3 linked regions of the Oreochromis niloticus genome follow. The main gene of each other region encodes a partner of the protein of the gene in region 2 in a complex. Links are inferred from orthologs where the notes say so. Each region holds a gene or a part of one and is shown on either strand. Other genes may lie near its edges.

The links.
Region 1: herpud1 (region 2) and os9 share a complex: the UniProt entries of both Homo sapiens proteins name them as parts of the HRD1 complex. The link is inferred for Oreochromis niloticus from reciprocal best matches to the Homo sapiens genes HERPUD1 and OS9.
Region 3: herpud1 (region 2) and ube2j1 share a complex: the UniProt entries of both Homo sapiens proteins name them as parts of the HRD1 complex. The link is inferred for Oreochromis niloticus from reciprocal best matches to the Homo sapiens genes HERPUD1 and UBE2J1.

The regions. Positions count from the first base shown.
Region 1 is NC_031970.2:23,295,444-23,299,198, forward strand, and holds the start of os9 (protein OS-9), read left to right. Parts: upstream 1-1,068; 5' UTR 1,069-1,243; coding exon 1,244-1,396; intron 1,397-3,127; coding exon 3,128-3,310; intron 3,311-3,755. UniProt on the Homo sapiens protein: Lectin component of the HRD1 complex, which functions in endoplasmic reticulum (ER) quality control and ER-associated degradation (ERAD).
Region 2 is NC_031972.2:2,339,959-2,343,713, forward strand, and holds the start of herpud1 (homocysteine-responsive endoplasmic reticulum-resident ubiquitin-like domain member 1 protein), read right to left. Parts: upstream 2,488-3,755; 5' UTR 2,230-2,487; coding exon 2,077-2,229; intron 1,089-2,076; coding exon 1,011-1,088; intron 1-1,010. Other genes in the region: slc12a3 (solute carrier family 12 member 3), read right to left, coding at 3,658-3,755. UniProt on the Homo sapiens protein: Component of the endoplasmic reticulum quality control (ERQC) system also called ER-associated degradation (ERAD) involved in ubiquitin-dependent degradation of misfolded endoplasmic reticulum proteins.
Region 3 is NC_031980.2:28,188,603-28,192,357, forward strand, and holds the start of ube2j1 (ubiquitin-conjugating enzyme E2 J1), read right to left. Parts: upstream 2,475-3,755; 5' UTR 2,009-2,474; coding exon 1,978-2,008; intron 1-1,977. UniProt on the Homo sapiens protein: Catalyzes the covalent attachment of ubiquitin to other proteins. Functions in the selective degradation of misfolded membrane proteins from the endoplasmic reticulum (ERAD) and is essential for cells to recover from ER stress.

The sequences.
Region 1 (3,755 bases), on a different chromosome or scaffold from region 2:
ATGTCTAAAATGAAAAATAAAAAAAATCTCATGCCTATCCCCTCCCCTGTCTATCACAGAAGCTTTCAAACGTTCAGCCAGAGCTGAGAAATAACAACCCCCGAAAAAAAAATCTCCTGCCGAAGACGGAGACACGGGCCTTTAAAGCAGCACCCCACTGTAGAAAAAATCAAATAACCCCACAGCTCACCTCAGTTAAGACGCACACTGCAGACTCTTTCACCTCCCTGCTGCACGGAGCTCGCCCCTCTCTCACGGATCTGTTCCTCGGAGGTCTTGAAAATGGAATTATGTGGGGGGAAGCGGCGCAGAGACGGAGCGGCCGCGCATCGCAACACTGCAGGCTGTTGGACGGATGCTCCCCCTGCAGCAACAGCGGCTGCGGCGCAGCGGCGAGCGCACCGATTTCACCGCTACACCAGACCCATCAGTGGTCTGTCAGCTGAGCACGCACACACACAGACACAGAGGAGAGGATACCACTGAACTGACTGCACGATTTCTCAAAAAAAGTAGAATTATGATCAAACAGTAACATTTATGTCTACATACGTGTTTAGATTGGTGCGTGGGTGTGTGGTGGGCGTCTGTTCACACAGCCGATAAATATTGTACTGCTTATTCAGCTTCTACAGTATCACACCCTCTGTCCTCCCCTCCTTTCTGGTATTCTGTTAAGGAATGCTTTCTTTCTTCAAGGAATTGTCTTGATTTTTCCCTCACCAGATATTTAAACCCAGAACTGCACTTTTCGCTCAGCTCGGTGTGTACGTTTTGGGTGTCATATGAATCATTTTATCGTTTTGTCATCATTGTACCTAATTGTCAATGTAAACCTTTAAAATCAGTTACTTCGGACTGTTTTGCATCAAAACAAAATGAAACAAACGAAGAACCCCCCCCCAAACTCGTGATTGTTATTTGGCCATGCGACAGGCCGCCTTGTCTTCGTGCTTAAGTGTGAGCCTATTTCATCGCAAGTCAGGCGGTGACAGCGGAGATGTGGGCCATTATCAGTCATTGGCCGTTATTCATTAGCATGCTATATATAGCACAAACACGCCGTTCATTGACTGTCCGCTGGTATGAAAACCAAACGCACCCCAGAACTGGGGAAAAACTTTGATTGACTTGGAAATTGGCCAATGACAAAGCAGGGCTTTTCACCTCGACCAATCCGCTGCTACCATGTCAGGCATTCTGTGTGTTGTTGCTGTCAGACAGGGGTAAGAGGCGAGAGTCAATGATGGCTGCTTCCTTGGTTTGGTTGTTAAAGAGACTGTACGTTTTCTTGTTGGCATGTCCCCTCTGTGTCCCGGGCTTCTTGAATTTGGAGGAGCTTAATGAGATGAAATATGGGATTCAGATTCTTCCCGATCCTGTCATCCTGGGGCAGGTGAGTCAGGAAATGCTAACGGATATAGCTTGTTAGCTTAAATATGAGCTAGCGTTATTTATTTACTATTAATAGTGTCAAATAATTCACACAGCGTGAGACCTGATGTCATAAAAGCACAAAACATATGAAAATAAATCTTATAAAATTACATGAAGACTAGTAATTCTCAGGTGAAGTACGCAGCATGCTGTGACAGCTGTTATGTTCATTGCCACAGGTCTATAAGTAACTAGCTGAAAGTAAAGCCCTATGGGCTCAAAATGTGGTCATAAATATTTTGTACTTGTAAATCAGGATTTGTATGTGTAAAAAGAATTTGTGTGTGCGTAAAAAAGATTTGTATGTGTAAAAAGAATTTGTGTGTGCGTAAAAAAGATTTGTATGTGTAAAAAGACTTTGGGTGTGCATAAAAAAGATTTGTTTGTGGACTTAGCCAAAAACCCCTGCAAGTTACAAGTACGAATTTTGACCCTATTTTTCTTCCTTTCATCTGATTGGTCAATGTCATGTCAATCACAAATGTAACAATCCAATCAGAGAACAGATGGGTTTGGCTGTCGGAGGGGCACTTTTTTTGAACTGCAGGTCTTTGAAGGGAATAAATGCCCTTTTACATGCCAACCCAGTGTTTTCCTTCATCACCACGAAGGAAAACAGTCTGTGGTCGTCCGAGTTTGGTGACTTTTGTGTCACAGGTCTACGTGTTTAATACAGGGACTTCCACAGCCTTTTCGACAGCGCTGCGGACCGCGGGGGGGGGGGCGGGCAGTGTTTTGGAAATGACAGTCTTCATTACAAAGCTTTCTTCGTTATGAATTAGCATACATGTTTTTATTGAACATTCGAAGAACTAGCAAAAAAAAAACCCCCAGAAACTCTTGTAGAGGACATAAAGTCAGAGATAGAAACGACAAGGAGCAGGTGCATCTAGTACAGGTAGAGCTGCTGCAAAAAACCACAGAGCCCAGCAACCAGCGCAACAAATTCTGGATCCTTTGCGTTTAGTTAGCATTAGCAGCACATCCTGTGCTCGATGTGAAAGGACTTTTATGCTGCTCACTGTGACTCACAGCAATGGTCCCGGGTCAGCCCTGACTTTGTGTTAAACTAATCCTAAAGTAATAATGGTATGTCTAACCACTGGCATACCACAACTTTATCCTTTCAACAGCTGCTGAAAGTTAGCGGACCTAGCTGCTATCGGATATTTATATAGAGATCCTCCAGCTTCAAACTGTATTACCCTTCAAGGACCTGCAGTTCAAAAAAGTGCCCCTCCGACAGCCAAACCCATCTGTTCTCTGATTGGATTGTTACATTTGTGATTGACATGACATTGAACAATCAGATGAAAGGAAGAAAAATAGAGTCAAAATTCGTACTTGTAACTTGCAGGGGTTTTTTTTGGCTAAGTCCACACACAAATCTTTTTTACGCACACACAAATTCTTTTTACACATACAAATCTTTTTTACGCACACACAAATTCTTTTTACACATACAAATCTTTTTTACACACACACAAATTCTTTTTACACATACAAATCCTGATTTACAAGTACAAAACTGATTTACAAGTACAAAATATTTATGACCACATTTTGAGCCCATAGAAAGCCGCAAGCCATGTTTTTATCTGTCTGCACTCAAGTAATGCATTGGTAATGTGTGCCCATGTGTGTCAACATTAAATTCGCCCCCTTTTCCATGCCTGTCTTACGTTTGTAGACTAAGACAGAGGAGGTTATGATGGTGTCCAGTAAGTACAAACAGCTCTATGAGTGTCGACTTCCAGCCCAGGCTGTGCGTTTTCATCAGGATCCCGCCACTGAGCCTGACTCGGAGGGTTACACTGGGCCAGATATCCCAGACCTGCTCAAGCCCATGCACAATGCCCCATGTCTAGTCAAGGTTGGTCTTTAACTACTTATCTGTGTAATCCAACAGTGAAATGCTTAAGCTGTTTATACTGTGATGTGGCTACAAAAATAATACAACAATAAGAACAAGAGCAAAACACACTGGAAGTGACTGTAAGTTAAGTATATTTGCCAGCTTAAGTAAGCTATTTGAAAGACACACGTGAATGCACCAGAAGCTTGCCAAAACAACACTGGGAGGCTCTTGATTCAGTATTCACTGGATTAAAGGTTGCTTGTCTGCATCAGTGACTGGGTACAAAAGCAGTATATCTAAGAGACAAACATCTGTTAATGTACCTGTGTTTTCAATTGTTCAGCTTAATGTGTTAATTTAAGGTTTACCCAAAAGCCCACAAGTACTTTATCACTATTTTCCTGCTCACAGTGCATTTTATCCACTATGACTGGATGTTAGAGCAAAAACACCTTGAAAA
Region 2 (3,755 bases):
GACTTTTTCTTTTTGCATGCTTTTGCATGTGGCCTTTCACTGCAGTGTGTGTGTGTGTCTGATAACCAGTGACAAATGAAAGGAAAAAAAACTGCACTCTTGACCCTTACAGTGAGGGAAGCATGGCTCTGGTACGGTATGAAGCTCTTCTGCTGGGTTTGGGTCTACTCAGTGTAGCCAGTGGTTCTCAAACTGTGGATGACCATGGGAGGAAAAAAACTGAAACTATGCCAAATCAGTGATTTTTACAGAAAACAAACAAACAAAAAAAAGTCCACGGTTATTTTGTTTCGTTACAGTGGCATTGTGCTGTATACAACTGAAATTTCAGTTTATATCTCCATCTCACCCTATCCCTGGCCTCCTTCACTACAGCCATGAATCCTCACTGAGGTCCTTTTCTTTTCCTCCTACCTCGCAGCACCATCTTCATCATCCTTTGTCCAACAGATCTGCTATTGTCCCCCCTGAACGTGTCCAAACCATCTCAGCCTCAGCTCTCAACCTTCTCAGTCTGAGCTGTCCCTCTGTTGCACTCTTTTCTATAGTGGTTCCTCCCGGCTGCTCCCAACGCTGACAGACAGTAAGATGAGCTTTGTTTTGTTTTTCTACTTTATAATGAAGTGGGGACAGGCCCACAAAATCAAGGCCGCATAAGCTCCAAAGCTTGCGCGCAGGTTTTCTACAGCTCTATGCTGATTGGTTCACAGAATAAATGGCTGACAGCTCCTTTGTGCACGGTTGGTATTGTCTTACATCTATCATGCCTGCTCAGGCAGTATGAGCCTCTACTGGGATTCTTGAACAAAAAAACATGAAATAGTCTGTCCTAGTTTTTGTGGCACAGCCCTTTCACACGTCTCAGTAACTACTGTGTACTTCCTTATTCTCCTACAAGCAGCAGCGAGATAAAAGCAGCCCTTTTCCACCAGTTTGTCTCCAGCATAGTGGCACATAATCAGCTTGTGACATTTACCACTTGACATGAAAGCTCGTGCTGTCATACACACCTGTATGAAGAGTCCATTAATGTGCAGGTTATCAGGCAGCAGTTTGCCAGCGTAGATCAGCCTCTGGTCACTCACAGCCTGGAGACGAAACAAGAATAAAGTCAGTAACGGATCAGATCTCCTTGCTGCTTTGGGTTTGGTGGGGGAGCTTGTTTTTTTTAAGGTACTAAACTGAAACCATGAAATATGGCCAAAGTCGAGTAATTTGTTTACAGTAGATCACACAGACTTATAATTGACACCTGGAAATGATATCTAATTGTAGTAAAAAAACAACAACAACAAAAAAAAAGAATTCTTAGTATCAAAAGAAAGAATAAAGATGACACTTTATTCACTGCAGGTTCCAGGCTGCAGTAAATCATCTCTACGGTGCAATCTGAGACATATCAGGGGATGTCCCAATATTAAAGCTGAAAAAGTGTTTGTGTGCTGTGAGCCTACCACAGCACTGTTTTCATCAAAGAAGATGAAGACCCTCTCTGTCTCACCTCCCCTTTGATTTCGATGAGAACATTTCGTAACCAGAAACACATGGCCAAGTTCCCACAACATTTGGGTAAACAGACCGAAACCTGGCTCCTCATTTGAACATTTTCAGTCCACTGCCTGGCTACAGCTGCCATCACTACGCCTCCACTGAAGCGTAGATCCTTCTCTGCTCCCTGTCCAAAACTGATGTTTGACATGTGCAGCCCCCCTGCCCAAGACACACCTCTGGATGTGGTCTGAATAACACGAATGTTCCCGTGAAGTTGTACTTATTTCAGAGACATATCTACAGAGAGATACAAAAACACCTCCATCGTCTGTACCAAAACAACAGACAGACATAAACACGTGTTCACTGCAGGTGTGTCACTCAATCAGTTTATTAATTAAACAGAAAAAATGACGTGACTGCGAGCTCGAGCTCGTGTGACTCGCAGGCACGCTGTGCTGGTTTCGTGTGAGCGCGCGCATATACACGCGCGTGACCCGGGAAATGGCTGACAGCTCGTTTTTACTCTCATCACATTCCACAGCACAGCCGCGAATAGCTCCGCCGCTCTCTGTGTAAACTCACCGGTTTGGTCGGGTAGACAGCGGACAGGTGCGCTTTCAGCTCCTTTATGGTCCACTGCAGGCTCACTCCCTCGATGGTCCGGTCCTCCTGAGCCTGGTTGGGCGTCTTTATGATGAGAGTGATCGTCTTTTGTTCAGAATTTCCTGCATCCATTTTTACCGTCTGTCGGTTCGAGCTCCGGGTGTAATGGCGGTGTGTGAGCTAGAAAAACAGGATGTCTCCGTGACCCGCTGGACTCACTAACACGAAGAACGGCCGGGGGAAAGTGCGTTTTATGTTAAAGAGAAACTGCGGTGACCTGGGTGGATCTAGAAGTGTCTCCGCTGGTCCTCATACGGGACTTTAGAGGAGGAATGTTGTTTCCAAACACACTGTGGCCGCTCCTGATTGGCTACCGTCTGCTCGTGCTCAGACGTGGAGGTTTGCAGAATATTCACAGTTTGAGCATGCGCAGTTATTGATTACGCTTCCAAAGATCGTTTATTTAGGAATAACCCACACTCCGACGCCATTTGATAAGGTATCGAAAAGCAGAGATAAACGCGCTTAGACCCGGGATAAAGTCCAAGCAAAAACCGAACACACACCACCAAAGTGAAACATTTGTATGTTTTCTTTTGTACCCTTCCTGTGAGCTTTCAAGGTTTTGCTTTTGCCGTTTTCTAAAACGGCAAAAGCACAGCACAGTGAGAGCTCATGTGAGCTTCCGTCTCTGATAATAGAAGCAAAACTATCTGAGCTGAAGTTACATCAGGCTTGTTACATCAGCTGTAAACTTTCACATATTCCCACAAGATTTATCCAGAAAAGTGAACGGAGCCACAAGATGTTAACGACATATCTGAGCAAAACATCGGAATATAAATACTGTTGTGAAAAAACAACCAGATAACAGCACCTTTAAACATTTTTAATACTGTATCATGTTTTGATTATATGCATATACTTACAAATACAAGTATTTATTAATTTATTGATCGATTTATTACATAGCTCGTTGGTTTAACCACAAGAGAGTTACAACAAGGACATGATGTGATACCGTGTGTTCCCATTGTACCTCATTACCTTAATATTGTACCTTAATATTAAAAAGAGTACTGAAGACTTTATTTACAAAGTTAAATTAGACTGATGGCAAAGCTATAGGAGACCATTGCTCCTGTGCCACAAATCCATAAATAGAAAGATTAAAAAAAGTCAAATGCAATCAAAAACAAAGACTTGCATAATTATTTCAACCTCATATTCCCATGAATGTGTATGTTAGCTATATTTATTATTTTTTATTGTATATTATGAAGTGGAGAGTGCAACATTAGCATGAAGGGACCCTAACTGATAAACATAGAGGACACTGTACAGTAGACATCTTTTCACTAATTTTTGTGATCAGAGTTAATCAAAATGTAACAAATCATTTCATGTGCTCATTACTGAAGAAATTACAATTCACTAATACCTGAAAATTAAATTACAAGAAATAAATCTATGGAAAAATAAATGTCTTCTGTGGCCTGAAAGGTGTTGTAATGTCAGGATAACTGGTTTCATATATGTCCATTGGTCTCACTGGAGATGCTACTGGCAGTAGAAGGTGAGAACGTTTTCCTGGTTTCCTCTGACCAGAAGGACTGGAGGTCTCAGATCACGTGACAAAAAGTCGAGCCACGCCAGGT
Region 3 (3,755 bases), on a different chromosome or scaffold from region 2:
CCGGAGCAGCTGGGCTACGTAAAAAGTGAAGGGGGGCGTGTTCACGGTCACGTCCAGTAGGTGTGTGTGCAGGAGAGTGACACAGCTATTCCACCTCGAGTCACTACTGCACAGACTCTGGCTCCAAACATGCAACATGGTAGCTTGTTTGACTTCATTTTTGTACTATGGGAGGAAGTGCAGCCAGATCGTGCATCTTTTCTACAGTCATTTGTTGTGAAGGGAGAAGAAAAAATGCTGTCCCATAATTCATTGCAATGGACCATCCTACCATTCATGAAAACCCACCAACATAATAACCAAAGTTGCACAGAAATGGTCATTTATAAGTGCATTTAGCCCTTCTTGCCACAACCTGCTGATGTATTAAAACATTACAAATACACTTACTCAGCATTGTGGAGATGTTTGATACTGCCCAGAACACCTGGGATTGTTCATTTAAAGAGGATTTCTTTTTCAAAATAACCATCAATTGCCTGTGTCTATTACCTATGTGTCTATTAGGAAACCTGGCTGAGTTTCCTAATATACTCACATCTTGAGAGGATGTTATTTAGTCCATTTGATCAAATCGGTGGCAGAACAAATTCTCATTAAAGCAACAAGTTCGCTTATGAAGTGCTCTGTAGTTATCACAGTGTTCACCGCTCCTCGTTGTAAATCTTGTTTGTTATTTTTAACCCAGATCAGGAAACAAGCCATTGTGATGATATTACATTATATTGAGGAGGCAGCTGCCCACTAAACTGTGTCTAACACCAGTTAATGTGGGCATGTTTCCTAAATCAGCAGCAGACGTTAGACAGCTGACAGGTGAACAGGATGCATGCATGACTGAGGGTCCTTCAAGCTGATCGGCAGTGTCATAAAGAAAATGTCAGCTTGTTATTTATGTTACAGAAAGACAGAGGAACAAGAACGGCGGCAGACTTTTTTATTTTTAAATTAAGATCATTTAATTGTTGCCTGAAGCTAATGTTGAGACACGTATGCATTTGTACAGCTGGAGATGTTGCCCTTTCTTGCCAAGGTCTTTAATCTTGTGAAACCGTAAGACACACTGGCAGAGTGAGAAGACCATTTGATCTGCGGAACATAGAGAGTTAACGTAAATACCAGTTAACCTGGAACGCTGGAGTCCAATTCCTTGTTTGTGGGCACAAATAAAGATGTTTCTGATCTCAGTTCATTTCTGTCCCAGTGAAAACTGAGAAACTATAAGGCTCACCTCTAAACACTCATCATGAGGGCTCAGTGAAAAGGTTTTGGACAGCTGGCCAAGTTTTGACCCTGCCAGAACAGCTTTGAGCCATGCACGCAAAGTGCAACTATCATAATCACGACAGACATAAGACATGATTTATGTTCGGCGTTAAAGAGTTTGTGCAATTTACTGCAAACTGCACAACATTTTTCATTCCCATTTCCGTGACTCATTTAAATATTCTTCTCCCGAAAGTGAAAGTCATAAAAATACATATGTTTAAAGTTTAAAAAAAAAATAAAAAATAAAAATTACGTGTTATTGCTGTGGGTTGCACACGACCAGCATACTTCCTATGTTTCTTAAAGTCAACCTTCAAAATCAGCCGATTAAATAGTCCCCTTGATCACTAATATTACAAAGCAGTTAACTACAACGCTGAACACGCAGACGTGTCCTTAATTACGTGTGTAACGTCAAATAACTCCGCAACACGAAAAGTACAGGGACAGAGCCAGCCGGTACAGTTTCAACAGACAGATGGTTTGCTCTGAATGCCAAAGAGTTTTAAAATAAATAAATAAAGCATCCCACACAACAGGAAGAACTCCGAAAAAATACTAAATAAAGGTGCCAGTGTAAACATTTAGATTGGGACGGAGGCTAATAACAGTTAAGCTAATTAAGAAACATTAAAGTGTTGGATTCTAGCTGTAGGATTTATCCTAGGGTTCCGAAAGCTGTAGAAGTTGTTTTGGGATCAGGCTTACCTGGACTCTTAAGGTTGTATTTGCTCTCCATCCTTGAAGAAACTGGGCACTGTCTTGAAGTTGTATTGTTTTCGTTTTCAAATACCTAGCTTTCAAATATTAGCGTTAGCTTCGCTTAGCAGCCCGGCTAGCTTGCTTCGTTCTTAAATCTGAGCGATACAGCTCAAACCGTACGTCCCGCTCTCGCACCGGAGCTCCAGTCTGCAAGTGGGGCAGGACGTGTTTCAGTAATGAGGGGATATTTTTCAACTTCTCTGCTGTTTAGGTTTTGAAACGGTTTCTCTAACCTTATCGACGTGACGTCATTTACGGAACGTAAACAGGAAGTGAAATCTGAGGCTACGCAAGGAGTGCGCACATCACTGTTAGAAACGGTAATGGCATTAGTCTGGAAGCAAATCATTACCGAAAGACTAGAATTGTATTAGCAACAGGAAAGTGAAAGATTTAGATATAATACTGGTGATGGCCAAATGAAGCGTTCCGAAGTACTGAAGCTTTAGTTCGCTACTCGAAGCTTTTCAACACTGTCCTCTTTAGTAACATCTGGTGGCCGGAAATATGAAGAGCAGCTTAAATCAAGAACATATTCAACCTGCTTCATTATGATTGGCCGCTCTACAGAACTTCTGTTTCATGTGACAGTACTGTGTGATATCGGGCTGATATGGTGCTTTGAATATGTGTTTTTTGGGTGAAAAAATAATGTTATGTCTATTTTATTAGATGAATAAACTTTCCTTGTTTAAACATGTGCCGTGTGTCTTCTCCTTTTTCTTGTGACTTCTTGTTGTTTTTTACTAATAAAAAATACACTATATATAACAATGTACAGCACAATCTTACAATAGGTTGGGAGTATGCTTGTGCTGCGAGGTCCCTGCCTCCATGTGATTATGTAATTAACAAGTGGACAGGTACGTTTATATATAATATACTCTAACTTCCATAAGACATTTGAGATGGCAGTTTCAGAATAGTGTTTGGCTGTTTATAAATTTCAGTGGGAGAAATGTTTCGTCACGTGACTTCTTCATTCTCAGCTGACTGCAGGTTTCCCCAGTCTTATAAACAGTACCTTTGCACAATGACTGAAACCAGCCCACTGAATGAACAATGGGCTGGGATGTCAGTTCCTTCATCATTAATATGCAAATTGTAAAATTGTCATGACCATTGATCAACAACCACTGATCCAAGACCACTGATCATTGATCATAGGCCACTAATCAATGGCTATGAGTACCATTCAGAGAGAGTTGGGGAATGGCTGCAATCACAGCATTGTAAGATGGTGAAAGGTGTACCCTGTGGCCTGCTCGTCAATTCAGAGATGGTCTTTCCCTTTTCACATAAGGGTTGTTTGGTTTCCCCGATATATAAATCATGGCAATCCTCCCAGTACTTAACAGCGTACACTACATTACTCTGTTTGTGTCGGCGTAACCGATCCTTGGGGTGGGCCAATTTTTGGCACAGCGTGTTTTGGGTCTTAAAAGCCACAGAGACATGGTGTTTAGAAAAAATGCTTCTCAACTGTTCTGATACTCCTGACACAGAAGAGGTCACTACGGGTTTTCGCTTAGGCAGCAGTTGTCCTTCTGTCCTGGATTAGGTGGAGCTTTCTTTAGGTGCCTTCCCAGCTTTGACAAACATCCAGCTCGGATAACCACATTTACTCAGGGCCTTTTTGAAGTGATATTCTTCTGCTTCCCTGGCCGCTGTGTCTGTGGGGATGGTGTTCGCTCTATGTTGTAGCATCCTGATTACACCCAGTT